Linked DNA regions of Macaca mulatta. The protein of the gene in region 1 interacts with the protein of each later gene in a pairwise test. Links are inferred from orthologs where the notes say so. Each region holds a gene or a part of one and is shown in the gene's direction. Other genes may lie near its edges.

The links.
Region 2: the proteins of USP25 (region 1) and TNKS2 interact in a two-hybrid assay, tested with the Homo sapiens proteins (2 studies listed by BioGRID and IntAct). The link is inferred for Macaca mulatta from reciprocal best matches to the Homo sapiens genes USP25 and TNKS2.
Region 3: the proteins of USP25 (region 1) and RAD23B interact in binary tests that used the Homo sapiens proteins (3 or more experiments, as listed by UniProt). The link is inferred for Macaca mulatta from reciprocal best matches to the Homo sapiens genes USP25 and RAD23B.
Region 4: the proteins of USP25 (region 1) and RAD23A interact in binary tests that used the Homo sapiens proteins (3 or more experiments, as listed by UniProt). The link is inferred for Macaca mulatta from reciprocal best matches to the Homo sapiens genes USP25 and RAD23A.

The regions. Positions count from the first base shown.
Region 1 is NC_133408.1:31,981,323-31,985,480, reverse strand, and holds the start of USP25 (ubiquitin carboxyl-terminal hydrolase 25), read left to right. Parts: upstream 1-1,358; 5' UTR 1,359-1,794; coding exon 1,795-1,839; exon of another isoform or gene 1,840-2,089; intron 2,090-4,158. UniProt on the Homo sapiens protein: Deubiquitinating enzyme that hydrolyzes ubiquitin moieties conjugated to substrates and thus, functions in various biological processes including inflammation and immune response.
Region 2 is NC_133414.1:103,814,807-103,818,306, forward strand, and holds part of TNKS2 (poly [ADP-ribose] polymerase tankyrase-2), read left to right. Parts: intron 1-517; exon of another isoform or gene 518-1,892; intron 1,893-2,715; exon of another isoform or gene 2,716-3,254; intron 3,255-3,392; coding exon 3,393-3,500. UniProt on the Homo sapiens protein: Poly-ADP-ribosyltransferase involved in various processes such as Wnt signaling pathway, telomere length and vesicle trafficking.
Region 3 is NC_133420.1:51,071,076-51,074,575, reverse strand, and holds part of RAD23B (UV excision repair protein RAD23 homolog B), read left to right. Parts: coding exon 1-121; intron 122-2,900; coding exon 2,901-3,036; intron 3,037-3,500. UniProt on the Homo sapiens protein: Multiubiquitin chain receptor involved in modulation of proteasomal degradation. Binds to polyubiquitin chains.
Region 4 is NC_133424.1:13,515,844-13,518,194, forward strand, and holds part of RAD23A (UV excision repair protein RAD23 homolog A), read left to right. Parts: intron 1-187; coding exon 188-266; intron 267-381; coding exon 382-515; intron 516-605; coding exon of another isoform or gene 606-668; exon of another isoform or gene 669-685; coding exon 686-790; exon of another isoform or gene 791-1,783; intron 1,784-2,351. UniProt on the Homo sapiens protein: Multiubiquitin chain receptor involved in modulation of proteasomal degradation. Binds to 'Lys-48'-linked polyubiquitin chains in a length-dependent manner and with a lower affinity to 'Lys-63'-linked polyubiquitin chains.

The DNA.
Region 1 (4,158 bases):
GAAGAAAAATGGGTTCTAACAAGCTCTCTTTAAGAGGTCACCCTCCTTGGGTTTCAGAGTTATAAAAAAATTGATACATGGGATTAGAGATGTGACAGTATTCCTAAATTTCTGTTTCCAACCGTTTCAGGACTTTTCAATTCCTCTGGAAAAGATGTAGGATATTAATATAATAAGATTTGCAATTTGTTAAATATCAAATGAGTCAACACATATGAAGATTCAAGGAAAAGATGACAACAGGTGGTTCAAGACATTCGAGCTGCAGATCAAAGATGGATGTAAAGTGCACATAACTGTTACAAAGCCTTAAGAGCTACTATAATCCGTGATTATTAAATAACACCACATACTATTTCAATTAGCATTTACCAAGCTTGCTTTCCTTGTCATTGGATTAAAAATTATACCAGGATTTTCAAGTGTATTCTATTTGTGACAATATGCATTGATAACTTCTTTCCCCACACTGCTGCACTCTCACCTCCGTTCCCAGATTAGCTCCTGGAACTCGAGATATTTTTGTGGCTAGAGATTGCTTTCTTAATGTTAGGTTTTCCTTGCAATTCCATATATAGTCAAGTATTCCATGCATGGTAGTTAATTGTTTGCTTAATTTGGCAACTGGGATATTAGAATTATGTATCATCTAGGCAGTGATATTTTTGTAAGGTTGTTTGCTACATATATCCTATTTCATTTATATTAAGTCTTGGGAAAATAAACTTTATTTTTCCAGAGCCTAGCAGTGACTGACACATATTCGAATGAATGAAGTAGATGGAAAATGTCTATATTCATTTACGTAATGATTAGTTAAGGAGAAACGTACTTCCCAGCATAAAGATTTCTGGCAATCCTTTGCTTATTTGACTTTTCCCTTCAGGCAAGTTCAAGGCTTGTGAAATTCCTAGAAAGGTGAGGGGAGAGAACGCGTGACACAGAAAGAGGCCGCAGTTCGGGACCCTAGGTAGTTTTGGGACGTTATGGGCATGCAGGGAAGTGTTTGCTTTGGAGGCTTTGGGCAAGCTACGGATCCGACAAGCCCTGGGCGCAGGCAGGAACACTGCCCTCCGGCCTCCAGCCGCGCTTCGCAAAGCCCAGCGCCAGCGTCGCGCAACCTGCCGCAGGGGCGGCTCCCTGGCCGGGCAGCCGGGCGCGCCCTCGCCCCACCCGGGAACGCCGGCCCGCGCCGGGAGGGGCGGGGCTCCATGGCGGCCCCGCCCCGCCCCGCCGCCCGGAGGGTCACAATGTAGGGTTAGGGCGGCCGGCGGGCGGGGCTCTGCGGGGGAGGAGCCGCTGGGCGGGGGCGGGGACGGCGCGTGGGGGAGGGGAGGGGAGGGGAGGGAGGAGGACTCACAGAGGGAGGAGGACAGCGCCATTCCGGGCGGCCGCTCCCTCCGTCCCCTCTCTCCCTTCCCTAAAGCGGCCCGCGAGCCGCGAGCCGCGAGCCGCCAGCTAAGGAGCGCGCGAACGCGTGACGCCGCCTGACTGGCCCGCGCTCTCCCGCGCCCCGGCGTCCTCCGCCCGCTCATGGCCCGGGCCGCCGCGGACGAGCGGCGCTGAGGCGGGCCGCGTGGGGACGTGGGGCGGCCGCCGTGGCCCTCGCAGTCGGCGCTTCGCCGCCTGCCCGCGGTGCCCGCGCACGCCGGCAGCCATCGCCTTCGCGCCTGGCTGGCGGGGGCGCTGTCCTCCCCGGCCGTCCGCGCCGCTCCCTGGAGCTCGGCGGAGCGCGGCAGCCAGGGCCGGCGGAGGCGCGAGGAGCCGGGCGCCGCCGCCGCCGCCGCGGGGGCCATGACCGTGGAGCAGAACGTGCTGCAGCAGAGCGCGGCGCAGAAGGTGAGGCGAGCCCGCGAGCCGGCGGGCCCCACTCCTCCTTCCGACGGGCTGTCCTCCCCCGCCGCGGCCGGGCGCCCCGGCCTCGCCGCCGCCGCCGTCCCCGGCTTCCTCCACCGTCACCCCCCGCCCCTGCCCATCGCCTCGGGGGCGTCGCGCCCAGTGCCCAGCTGCGTGTGGGAAGCAGAGTGTAGTTTGCGGGCTTCAGTCCACTTCCTTCTGCCGATTGTTTTCCCGTAGCAGACGGTGCCAGGTATTGAGAGCGACCCTCACATTCCTACAGTGCTCTGTGTGGCTTCTTAATGAAACTTTATTCTCTCCCCTTAAATAAGAAAGAAGAGCCAGTTGTCATCCTTTCTGAACCCATTTTGTCTTTCGAAGGTAGTAGTGTTACAGGCCTGCTGTTTTGCAAAAACGGTCTCCAGCAAAATCGAATTACCTGCCTTGCGGGGCAGGCGTGTTGACCAGGTGGACTCTAGAAGTAGGTGATTTGCTTGGTTTCTTTTCCTTTTAAGGTTTCCCTTTTTTCTTCAGTTCTTCTTTTCTGCTTTTTTTTTTTTTTTTTTTTTTTCCAATATGGTAACTGTCTCTAAGAGAGGAAACCTTTCTGGCCATGTTATTCCAGGAATCTTTTGTCCCCTAAGTTTGACCTTGTTCCTTCGTTCACTCTTTACTCTTGCATCAGTCACACATTCAAATGGTCACTCACTAAAGAAAACCATTTTAAAAAAACTGTGAAGCTTTGTATCTTTAAAGTGAATAGTGAGAGATCATTCTGCTATTTTAGACTTTGCTTTCAGAATCTTAAGTGCACTATCATGGCTTGCACCATATTCTGAAGAGTAGTTGGCCATAATTTAATTTTTTTTTTAAATTTTTCATTTGCGTGAAAAGCATTTTGGGCAAAAGGGGTCAACCGTGCCTTAGTCGTGTTGGAATTACGGGGACAATTAGGGTTTACTGTGATCAACCACCGGAGTTGTGTTTGGTTAATCTGGGTGAGTAATGAATGCCCCACCCTGGTGTAGTTTTGGTGTAGCGATATTCTACCTGTGCTTGACTTTGCAATAAGACCTGTTCTAAAATGGGCTGTCTACATACAGCCTGCTAAATTTTTGCCTTGAGATTATTTTTAGAATTTTATGATACTGCTTTAAAGTAGTCGAAGATACTCAAGAAGTTTGGAAAGCAAGGATAGTGCATTGTTATTTTAGGCACGTTGGGAAAGTTTTTGAGACTCGTATGTTAGTTGATATTACTGGTAAAGTTAGAAGGATATTGCACACTGCACTTTATTTACGGTGAAATAATTCAAGACTTAATAATGAGAGTTTAAAAGAGTTTACTTCCTAATCCTCCCTATTCTATTTTGAATACCTTCAAATTTAGTTTCTAAAGACTTAAGGCTTACGAAAGACCATATGGTCATGTGAATACTAAGCACTGTTTAATATGTATGGTACTATTTGTTTATAATTGTCTTCAATGTTGAATATTAAAGTCTGTTTCAAAGTGAGAAATACGAATTTTTCACATCTCCTAAGTTTGAACAATGGGAAGAACTTTGTAAGTTTGGGATTTTTTTTTTTTTTTTCATTTGATTTTGACTGAACTGCATTAAGTAACTGCAGGCTCTGTTGCATGGTTCAGAGGTTATGCATAAAATTGTAGAATCAAGAATCAAGTTAACGAAAGTGATCTTGGCTGTCAAGTCCAATTTCCTACTTTAATTAATCCCCTCCCCACACAAAGGGAGGAGTAGTTAATTCAAAATATCATTATGATGTTATTTTTAGTATGGGTGTGTTTTAGATCATTTCATTGTTATTGGGGATTTTTTTTTAGAGAAACTTTTATACTTCCATAATACTTAGATTGTTTTACGAAAGAAACACTTAAATGTGTTTGCTTTCCATATTAATACACGATTGCTTTATTACTCATATTAGAACTATTTAAAAATATTTATATGGATATAAATAAACCATCTACCTCAATAAGTTGACAGATTTAAATCCATCAAGCTGGTAACCAGGAAGCGCACTTAAAACTGGTAACTAGGAAGTGAACTTCACACTTAGAAGAAACAAAAGTGAAAGTCTGTTTTTACTCAGACACTTTATGGATTATCTAAAAGGAGAGGTGTGTAGTGTATATTGCATAGCCAACATTTTAGCCAGTTTTCTTCTCACCTTAAAAAATTGTATGTACGTATATGTTTTTAAATTTTAAGTAAATAGTTGTATTTTGGTAGTCGGAATGGTTTCTTATATTTTCAAGGGTTTTTAAACTTTTATTTTGCAGATGGATGTAAGTTTTTTT
Region 2 (3,500 bases), on another chromosome or scaffold:
GTGCTGGGATTATAGGCATGAGTCACCATGCCCTGCCAATTTCATTATATTTCTGTAGGGTGTTCTAAATCTTAAACAGACCCACTCACAAAGTCAATAATTTTAGATTTTCTGAGAAGGAAATATAAGTGTTGTTCTCTTCTGAGCTAGAGCTCTGAGGGAATTTATTCACTGCCGTTTTAAATGAAGAGCTTTCTACAAATTGATTTTAAAATCCATGTGATCCTTTTCTGTTGTTTTATCTGTGTAGACATCTCAGATAACTTCAGATTTTTTTTTAATTCATTTCTCACAGAAAACTGCAACTATCATGCAGTTTTATTATTTGACATGTTTTTATTTTGATCCTCATTATTCTCATTCCCTTAAGTAGGAGGCTTATAGGATATTGAAAGGAGGATTTTGTTTCTATTAGTACTGACTTGTGGAAATACAAATCACTTGAGGTAAAAGGTTGTGAACTGATTTTTTTTTTTTTCCAAGAGACATGAAAATTAAGTTGAAAGCAATTAGCTGATTTTTTTTTTTTTTTTTTTTTTTTGGTGTGTGTGGGCAGGGAGAGATACAGAATTGTAAATGCTCATTCTCTTATATATATTAAAGAACATAAAACTATATTTAGTAAACATGTTAAAGACTAAACTTTGTTTTTATAAAGATAGAGGGAGTCCAGAGGAGGGGATAGATAAAGAGGAGATGAAGTTGGGGGGCAGGAAATGGACTTAGAGAACACAATAATGCCATTGGATTCAGGAAAACCTGTGCCAAGTATCCGGCATTCTTCCCTCCCCTCTGCTTTTAAAATCACTTGATGGACATTTATCTCCATGAACCATTCTTCTTACCTACCTCTAGACAGATGGCTCTGTACGAATGACTGGAACAAGAACATCTGCGTATTACCTAATGAACACTTAACTGTTGTGCTCAGTTGTGTTTGTTTACTGATAATCCACCAGGCTGGATACTTTATTCAACACCTGCTATTAGAAAACTTGTCTCAGAGTGGGCAAAATTTAACTGACAGGTGAAGAGTAGAATGGCCTGTGATAACTACCAAACCCAAGCAGCACCTGGTAAACATGTTAAAAATAGTCATTTCTAGGGACCTGACTTGAGACCCACTGAAATACCATCTCTTAAATGGGGCCCTGAATCTGTATATCTCACCAGCTCTATTTGGGAAGCACAGAAGAGCTTTGCCAGGACAGTGATTAAACCCCTTGAGGTAAACCCACTGATAGCAGGCTCCTTTGTTTTATTGAGCTTAGGTTATCCCTGCTTTGGGCGTAGGATAGTAAAAAGGGGAAAGAGTTTTTACTAATATGGATATATTCTTTTTGTTTGTTTGTTTGAGATGGAGTTTCACTCTTGTTGCCCAGGCTAGAGTGCAGTTGCATGATCTCAGCTCACAGCAACCTCCATCTCCCGGGTTCAAGCGATTCTCTTGCTTCAGCCTCCCGAGTATCTGGCATTATAGGCGCCCGCCACCACGCCCAGATAATTTTTTGTGTTTTTAGTAGAGACAAGGTTTCACCATGTTGGCCAGGCTGCTCTTGAACTCCTGACCTCAGGTGATCCACCCGCCTCGGCCTTCCAAAGTGTTGGGATTACAGGCGTGAGCCACCGTGCCTGGACTAATATGAATATATTCTTTTGACTCTTTAAGCAGTCTGATTTATTATCTATGTTGCTTTTCTTCCCCAAACTTTCATACTTTTCATAACTACACTTCCTCATCTGAACCAAAGAACACAGAAAATTGACTGCTTTCTTAATTCTACCCAGTCCCCAGGACTGTATAACTGTATATAAACATCAGCATTCTTTTTTTTTTTCTCTCTCTTTTTTCTTTTTTGGAGATGGAGTCTGGGTTGGTCACCCAGGCTGGAGTACAGTGGCACGATCTCGGCTCACTGCAACCTCTGCCTCCCAGGTTCAAGCAATTCTCCTGCCTCACCCTCCCAAGTAGTAGAGACAGGGTTTTGCCATGTTGGCCAGGCTGGTCTTGAACTCCTGACCTCAAGTGATCTGCGCGCCTCAGCCTCCCAAAGTGCTGTGATTACAGGCATGAGCCACTGTGTTCGGCCTAACCATCAGCATTCTACTGGTTATTTCATTCCATGTAGTGTAGTATGGTTCCTGAGCCACCGGCATCAGCATCACCCAAGAACTTGGTAGAAGTGGAGATTTTTAGGCCCACATCAGTTACACTGAAAATTTGAGGGTTGGACCCAATGCACATTGAAGTTTGAGAACCACTGCTCTAAAGGAATACTTTTCAAATTTTAATATGTTTACATATTACCTAGGGATCTTGTCAAAGGGCAAATTCTGACTCAGTAGATAGAGATCTGAGATTCTGAATTCTTAATAAGCCCCTTGGTAATGCTGGTGCTACTGTAATCTCATGTAACTCTGTGTGTATTTGCCACAAAATGCAAGTTACACTTGCTGATGATTGGCACTTTACGTGTGTGCGCGTGTGTGTGTGTGTGTATATATATATATAGTAAAGATAATAATAAAATTTACCCTTGAGCTTTAGAAAAAGTAGAATATAAAGGCATACATGAGGCCGGGCACAGTGGCTCAACCTGTAATTCTAGCATTTGGAAGGCCAAGGTAGGAGGATCCCTTGAGGCCAGGAGTTCGAGACCAACCTGGCCAACATGGTGAAACCCCGTCTCTACTAAAAATATAAAAATTAGCCAGGTACAGTGGCATGTGTCTGTAGTCCCTGCTACTCGGGAGGCTGAGGCAGAAGAATTGCTTGAACCCGAGAGGCAGAGGTTGCAGTGAACTGATATTGCGCCACTGCACCCCAGCCTGGGCAAGAGAGCGAGACTCTGTCTCAATAATAATAATAATAATAACAAAAAAAGGCATAGATGAGAGGACCAGAGGGATTCCCAGTAAATGACAAGATGAAATAAGAATACTAAATAGGGCCGGGCGCAGTGGCTCACCTGTAATCCCAGCACTTTGGGAGGCCGAGGCGGGTGGATCACGAGGTCAGGAGATCGAGACCATCCTGCCTAACACGGTGAAACCCCATCTCTCCTAAAAATACAAAAAAAACTGGCCGGGCGTAGTGGCGGGCGCCTGTAGTCCCAGCTACTCGGGAGGCTGAGACAGGAGAATGGCCTGAAACAGGGAGGCGGAGCTTGCAGTGAGCTGAGATCGCGCCACTGCACTCCAGCCTGGGCGATGAGCAAGACTCCATCTCAAAAAAAAAAAAAAAAAAAAGAATACTAAATAGTTTCTGAGAATACTGTTTTAATGAGACAAGAAAGTAAGTCAGACACTTTGAAAATTCCTACTAAATGACTTGAAACAAGAAATGAGAATATGTAGAAGTAGTATCACGTATGTTGTGTTTTGTCCTTCAGAAACTGTGTACTGTTCAGAGTGTCAACTGCAGAGACATTGAAGGGCGTCAGTCTACACCACTTCATTTTGCAGCTGGGTATAACAGAGTGTCCGTGGTAGAATATCTG
Region 3 (3,500 bases), on another chromosome or scaffold:
TCAGTCTTACGAGAATATGGTAACTGAGATCATGTCAATGGGCTATGAACGAGAGCAAGTAATTGCAGCCCTGAGAGCCAGTTTCAACAACCCTGACAGAGCAGTGGAGTATCTTTTAATGGTGAGAAACATGTTTTACTTTACTTCATTCTAGTTGTTTAAGATCAAAATCTCAAAGAAACAGATTTTAAAGGACCACTTCACCTGTATGATATATGCTAGATGATACACAGTGCTTTTTTTTCTAGTATGTTTGTATTTTGTGTTAATAAAATGTAACCTTTTTTAATATAGTGGTCCAGCATTGTAGTAGCTTTTTAGGTACCACTGTGCATGAATTATTAAGAACAAACATTTTAAGCTTGAGAATTCGGGCCAAATTCTTTTGCTTATACTATGTATATATCTGTAATAAGTTGCGAGCTTTTTAAAATCTGGGAAATTTCACATATAAGTACAGATTTCTGGTTTATCTGGACAACTTTGGATCCCAGATTTTTGCAAGGGATTAAGGAAAATATTTTAGATCATAGAATCTAATTCATTATCCTCTGATTCACTCTGTTACCAATGTAACATCACGCATTTAACGAATGATGTTACTTACCTGGTTCCGTTAGCATTTGAATTTGTTTTTATAGTCAGTAGGAGTTGAGGGACTTTTTGAATAAGGTTTTCTTTTTTTACCGGTAATGGGAGTTTTTGAGAAATAGATTGTTGTGGACATTGACTGAAACACTTGGTATTAAGATGAAAGTCTGCTAGTTTTACAGATGTGACACAGGCTAAAGTAATTGAATTAACTTTTAAGAAATCTTCTATTCTATAATTGTCTGCTGTTTTGGAGTATTATCGAAGTCTGAATTGCCCTAAATACCATCTTAGAGTTTCTCTTTTTGTATCTTAGAGTTAACTCTTTTGGCAATTAATCCACAGTTTAACCCATTCCTTTATGTCTAGGTTGTCCTTTGTGTCTAAGTTGTACTTCTGTTAAAAATTCCTTTCAGGTAGCTGGCTAGTTTCAGAAGAGTCAGTTATAAGCCTCATAACTGTACTCTGCCTCCACCATTTATTTGCCCATGCATTTGGATGTGAAGTTCACAAAACCTTTTCTTAGCATATTATTTTATCTTTTTAAATTCACTTTTTCATTGTCTTCTTGAGTAGTGTCTTTAAATGCTGGCAGTTTATCCAGTTTTTTTGGAATTCTGGAATTAATTGTTGTGAATTTGTTTGGTGAGGGGTGCATACCCTAAACAGATTGTATAAAAGTATTAGCTTTTATGGAGTGGCTTTCATTTACACTTGATTTAGAATTCTGCATAAGTTCAACGGTATCAGTTATTGTGATCTAATGGATGTGGAGTTTTGATGTATAAAAAAAAAGAATCATTGTTACCAAAGTTGCCAAATGCTAAAACTGCTGTATAGCATCAAATGCAAATAAATAGATGAGTCATGAGTTCATCAAACATTTTATAACTAAAATGTTTTTTATATGTTTGCTGTTTGTTTCATAGACTGGAGGGGAAAAGTTGCCTTTAACTGTTACTAGTTAACAGATAAGGTGAATGGGTGGAAAGAAGAAATGTTGAGCACTTATCTAATAAGAGGCTATGTAACATGTGTGAGAATAGAGGTTGATCTGTAGCAATGAAGATTAACTTTTTAGTTTTATAAAACAGAATTTGATGGACCCTCTGGATCCTAAATTTGTATGTAGTTTGTTAGCACTTAAATAACTGACCATCTAAGTTAAGGGTTTGAAATGATGAACTCATTCAAAAACATTGGTTTTAATGCCTGGAGTGACATCTAATGCATGCAGCCATTTTCCTGCTGTGTTGCCCTTCATCCTTTATATGTTGTTGCTTTTGGCTTCTAGCTTATTAGGAAATGGAAGCATTTATCATCTTATTCAATTGTAATACTTGGTTCTTTATTTTCTTCTTTTCAAAAGCTATAAGAACTTGATAAAGACTTTTTTAAATTTTTAAATGACAAGTCTTATCAACCATGTGCATCAAAATAGATGTCCCAAAATATTTTAGTGCATGCAGTTTTAAGCTCTTAATAACTTTAAAAGATAAGTACTATAAACTTACAAAAGGCATCACCTAAAAACTAAATGGTTTCAGTTTATTTTAGATCAATTTTGTGCATTTTGAAAAATTAAATTTTTGGAAATACTTGAGTAGCTCATATTTATGAGATACTTTGACACTTTCTCAAAGAAACGCTTTATTCAAAAGTGTGTCAAATTTATGAGATAGTTTCTGAGTGACACTTACTCAGTTCCATGGATCAGTAGAGGAGATCCTCCTGCCTGACCGCTGTGTACCTGGTCTGTATCCATTAGATATTTTTTCCCCAGGAATCATTTCAGAACTGTCAAGTGTGCATCAAAAACTCTTTTTTTGGATTATCTTAAGCCCGGGTTGCAAATTCAATCCTTTTTGTTACTGAGTAACAGCTGATGAAGATTTCTAAGAAGTTAAAAAGTCAACTGAAGTAATAGCTGGCACAAAAACCTTTGGTTATGTTCAGTTTTAAGAAGGTACATGTATCAGTATTTTTCAGATTTGACGCCAATTACGTGTGCCTGGTAGGCATCTTATTGGACAACACAGGGAAAATTTCCATCATCATGGAAAGTTCTGCTGGACAGTGCTGCTTTGCATTATTACAGCAATGTGGGTTTTTCTATAATGCACACAGGTCATTTCTAATCTAATTTTAATCCATGCAGCTTAATAATCCTTTACTTTTAATTGAAGCAGACGTCTGTTTGATGCTTTTGAAAATCAGACAAGATGTTAAATAGACTATAAATCTTTTACTCTGTATAATATTAAATTTTGCCTGAAGGGATATCTTAAAGCTTGGAAATTCTGTTATAGGGAATCCCTGGAGATAGAGAAAGTCAGGCTGTGGTTGACCCCCCTCAAGCAGCTAGTACTGGGGCTCCTCAGTCTTCAGCAGTGGCTGCAGCTGCAGCAACTACGACAGCAACGACAACAACAACAAGTTCTGGAGGTAAAGTGGAATCTTTTGGATGGAGAAGGAATGGCCCTGAATTTTTACTGTAAAATGATTTAATCTGAAATACTTCAGAAATGAGGTTCATTCCCAGAGCAGCTGAATGCTTCATTAAGTTCTCTCTTCACTAATGTTTGAGAAAGGCCCAAAAGAAAGTCTCCCAAGTGGATGTAAAAGGTATCCTTGCTGATATTAAACATCAGTTGCAGTTTTGTCAGAGGGCATATTCTGTTTTATTTGTTTTAAGGAAAAGATGCTTTCCAGTTTGTATTTAGTGTTACTTTCTGATGCTGTTCAGAATGGTTTGCTCACTTTGTCTCGTAACTCTCTCCATAAATTTTACAAAGTGTATGTAATTTCAAAGCCAGCAGGATTTCACTAGTTAATACAACCAAGGAAATGAGACCTTGAGAGGTTTCAAACCTTGTATCTAGAGGAGAAAGCAGAGCTTGAATTGAAGT
Region 4 (2,351 bases), on another chromosome or scaffold:
AAAACCTGCCCTGAAGAGCCTTTGGGTAGTGATTCTAGCCACTAAAGGCTTCCCACAGGAGGCTGGATGTGAGTGGTGGGTGGGCCTCTGGAGGGCAGGGCCGAGGCCTCATCTGTGTCCAGCCAGGGCATGGAGGAGGGTGGCAGCAGGAGGTCTGTGCATTAGAACTAAACAGGACCCCTGACAGGGAATTCCTGGGAGCCCCGAGCCGGAACACGGTTCTGTCCAGGAGAGCCAGGTATCCGAGCAGCCGGCCACGGAAGCAGGTGGGTGTGCACGTGCTGCATCTGCCCTCCAGGTACCTGACTCACATCACACTCCACCCCGCAGTGCTCCTAGGAGCCCGGCATGGTGTCTGACTGCACCCCTTCCTACTATCAGCAGGAGAGAACCCCCTGGAGTTCCTGCGGGACCAGCCCCAGTTCCAGAACATGCGGCAGGTGATTCAGCAGAACCCTGCGCTGCTGCCCGCTCTGCTCCAGCAGCTGGGCCAGGAGAACCCTCAGCTTTTGCAGGTGTGATCCCAAGGGCAGAGGGAGCCATGGCAGCCACCATTTTTGTTCCCTGTGGGCACCAGAGTCCATAACATGTAGGAATTGTTCTAGGCCTGGAAAGCAGGACTAAGCACATGCTTCCCCCACGCCCCCATGCTTCCTGTGACCTGTTGATCCCCACGGTTTCTCAGTCTTCCCAACCGTCTTGTGAGATGTGGGTGCTGTCAACATCACCTCCCACAAAAGAAGACACCAGAAGCTTAGAGCAGCCTGTCATTCCCAGGGTCATACAACTGGTAATGTATGTGTCTGCCTGCTGCCTCAGGGTCCTGGGCTGGGGCTCTGGCTCTGGCTCCACATACAGATGGTGCTGCGTAAATGTCTGTAAGGTGGCATGACATCACCCAGGACAGCTGTGCCCCAGTTGGCTCTGGGATGACTCTGCTCTGTGAGGCTCCACCTTGCCCTTGAAGGTTCACAGGAAGAGTGGGGGAGTGACCCCCCAGCTGCAAGCAGGTTCCTCTGGGTCCTTGGTGAAGTGCCTACCGGTCTTGGCTCAGGACCCTGCTGTCTGCCCATTCTCCTCACTTCTCAGTCCTTTGCCGGCTCCTCCTGTTCGATCCTGTTCTTCATCTGCACTCAGCCCTCCCTCATAATGTCCTGGGGCCTTCAGTCTGTATGGGAACCCCCACATCTATGTAGCCAGCCCAGGCCTCTCTGAATGCCACACTCCATGGCTGGCTTAATCTCTCCATCAAAGTGCTCTCTAGACTAGACTTCTAAGACTTAGAACAGACCTCCTCAGTCCTCCCCAATCTCTGCAAGGACTAGCCTGGGGTTGCTTCAGCCCCAGGCCCTGGGGACCTGCTGGGGTCCATCCCTCGTCCTGTCTGCTCTTCCCACTCAGCGCCTCCTGCACTCCAGCTCCCTGGCAGCCTCTTCCTGGGCCTCTGCCACCGCACAGTCCCGCAGTCCACTTTCCATCATGAGGCAGATAACTGAAAAGCACTTTCTGCTTTAATGCGAAAATGGTCAAATGTAGACAATAGTAGAGTTGCATGAGAGCTTCCAGATACCCAGGCAGGGCACAGTGGCTCGTGCCTGTAATCCCAGCAGTTTGGGAGACTAAGGCAGGCGGACTACTTGGTCAGGAGTTTTAGATCAGCCTGGTCAACATGGCAAAAACCTGTCTCTACTATAAGTAGAAAAAGTAACTGAGCATGGTGGCAGGCCACTGTAGTCCCAGCTACTCGGGAGGCAGAGGCATGAGACGTGCTTGAACCCAGGAGGCAGAAATTCCAGTAAACTGAGATTGCCCCACTGCACTCCAGCCTGGGTGACAGAGTGAGACTGTCTCAAAAAGAACAGAAACAAAGGCCGGGCACAGTGGCTCACGCCTGTAATCCCAGCACTTTGGGAGGCAGAGGCGGGTGGATCACGAGGTCAGGAGATTGAGACCATTCTGGCTAACATGGTAAAACCCCGTCTCTACTAAAAATACAAAAAATTAGCCGGGTGTGGTGGCGGGCGCCTGTAGTCCCAGCTATTGGAGAGGCTGAGGCAGGAGAACACCGTGAACCTGGTAGGCAGTGCTTGCTGTGAGCCGAGATCGCGCCACTGCACTCCAGCCTGGGTAGCAGAGCGAGACTCCGTCTCAAAAAAAAAAAAACAGAAACAAAAATGAACAAACGAACTTCCAGATACCTAAACCCAACACCCAGATGAGTTCACTTTTTTTGGTTTGGTGGCTGGTGGGTGGGAATAGAGACACAGTCTATGTTGTCCAGGCTGGTTTTGAACTCCTGGGCCCAAACAGTCCCTCCTGCCTTGCCTCCCAAATTATTGAGGTTACAGGTG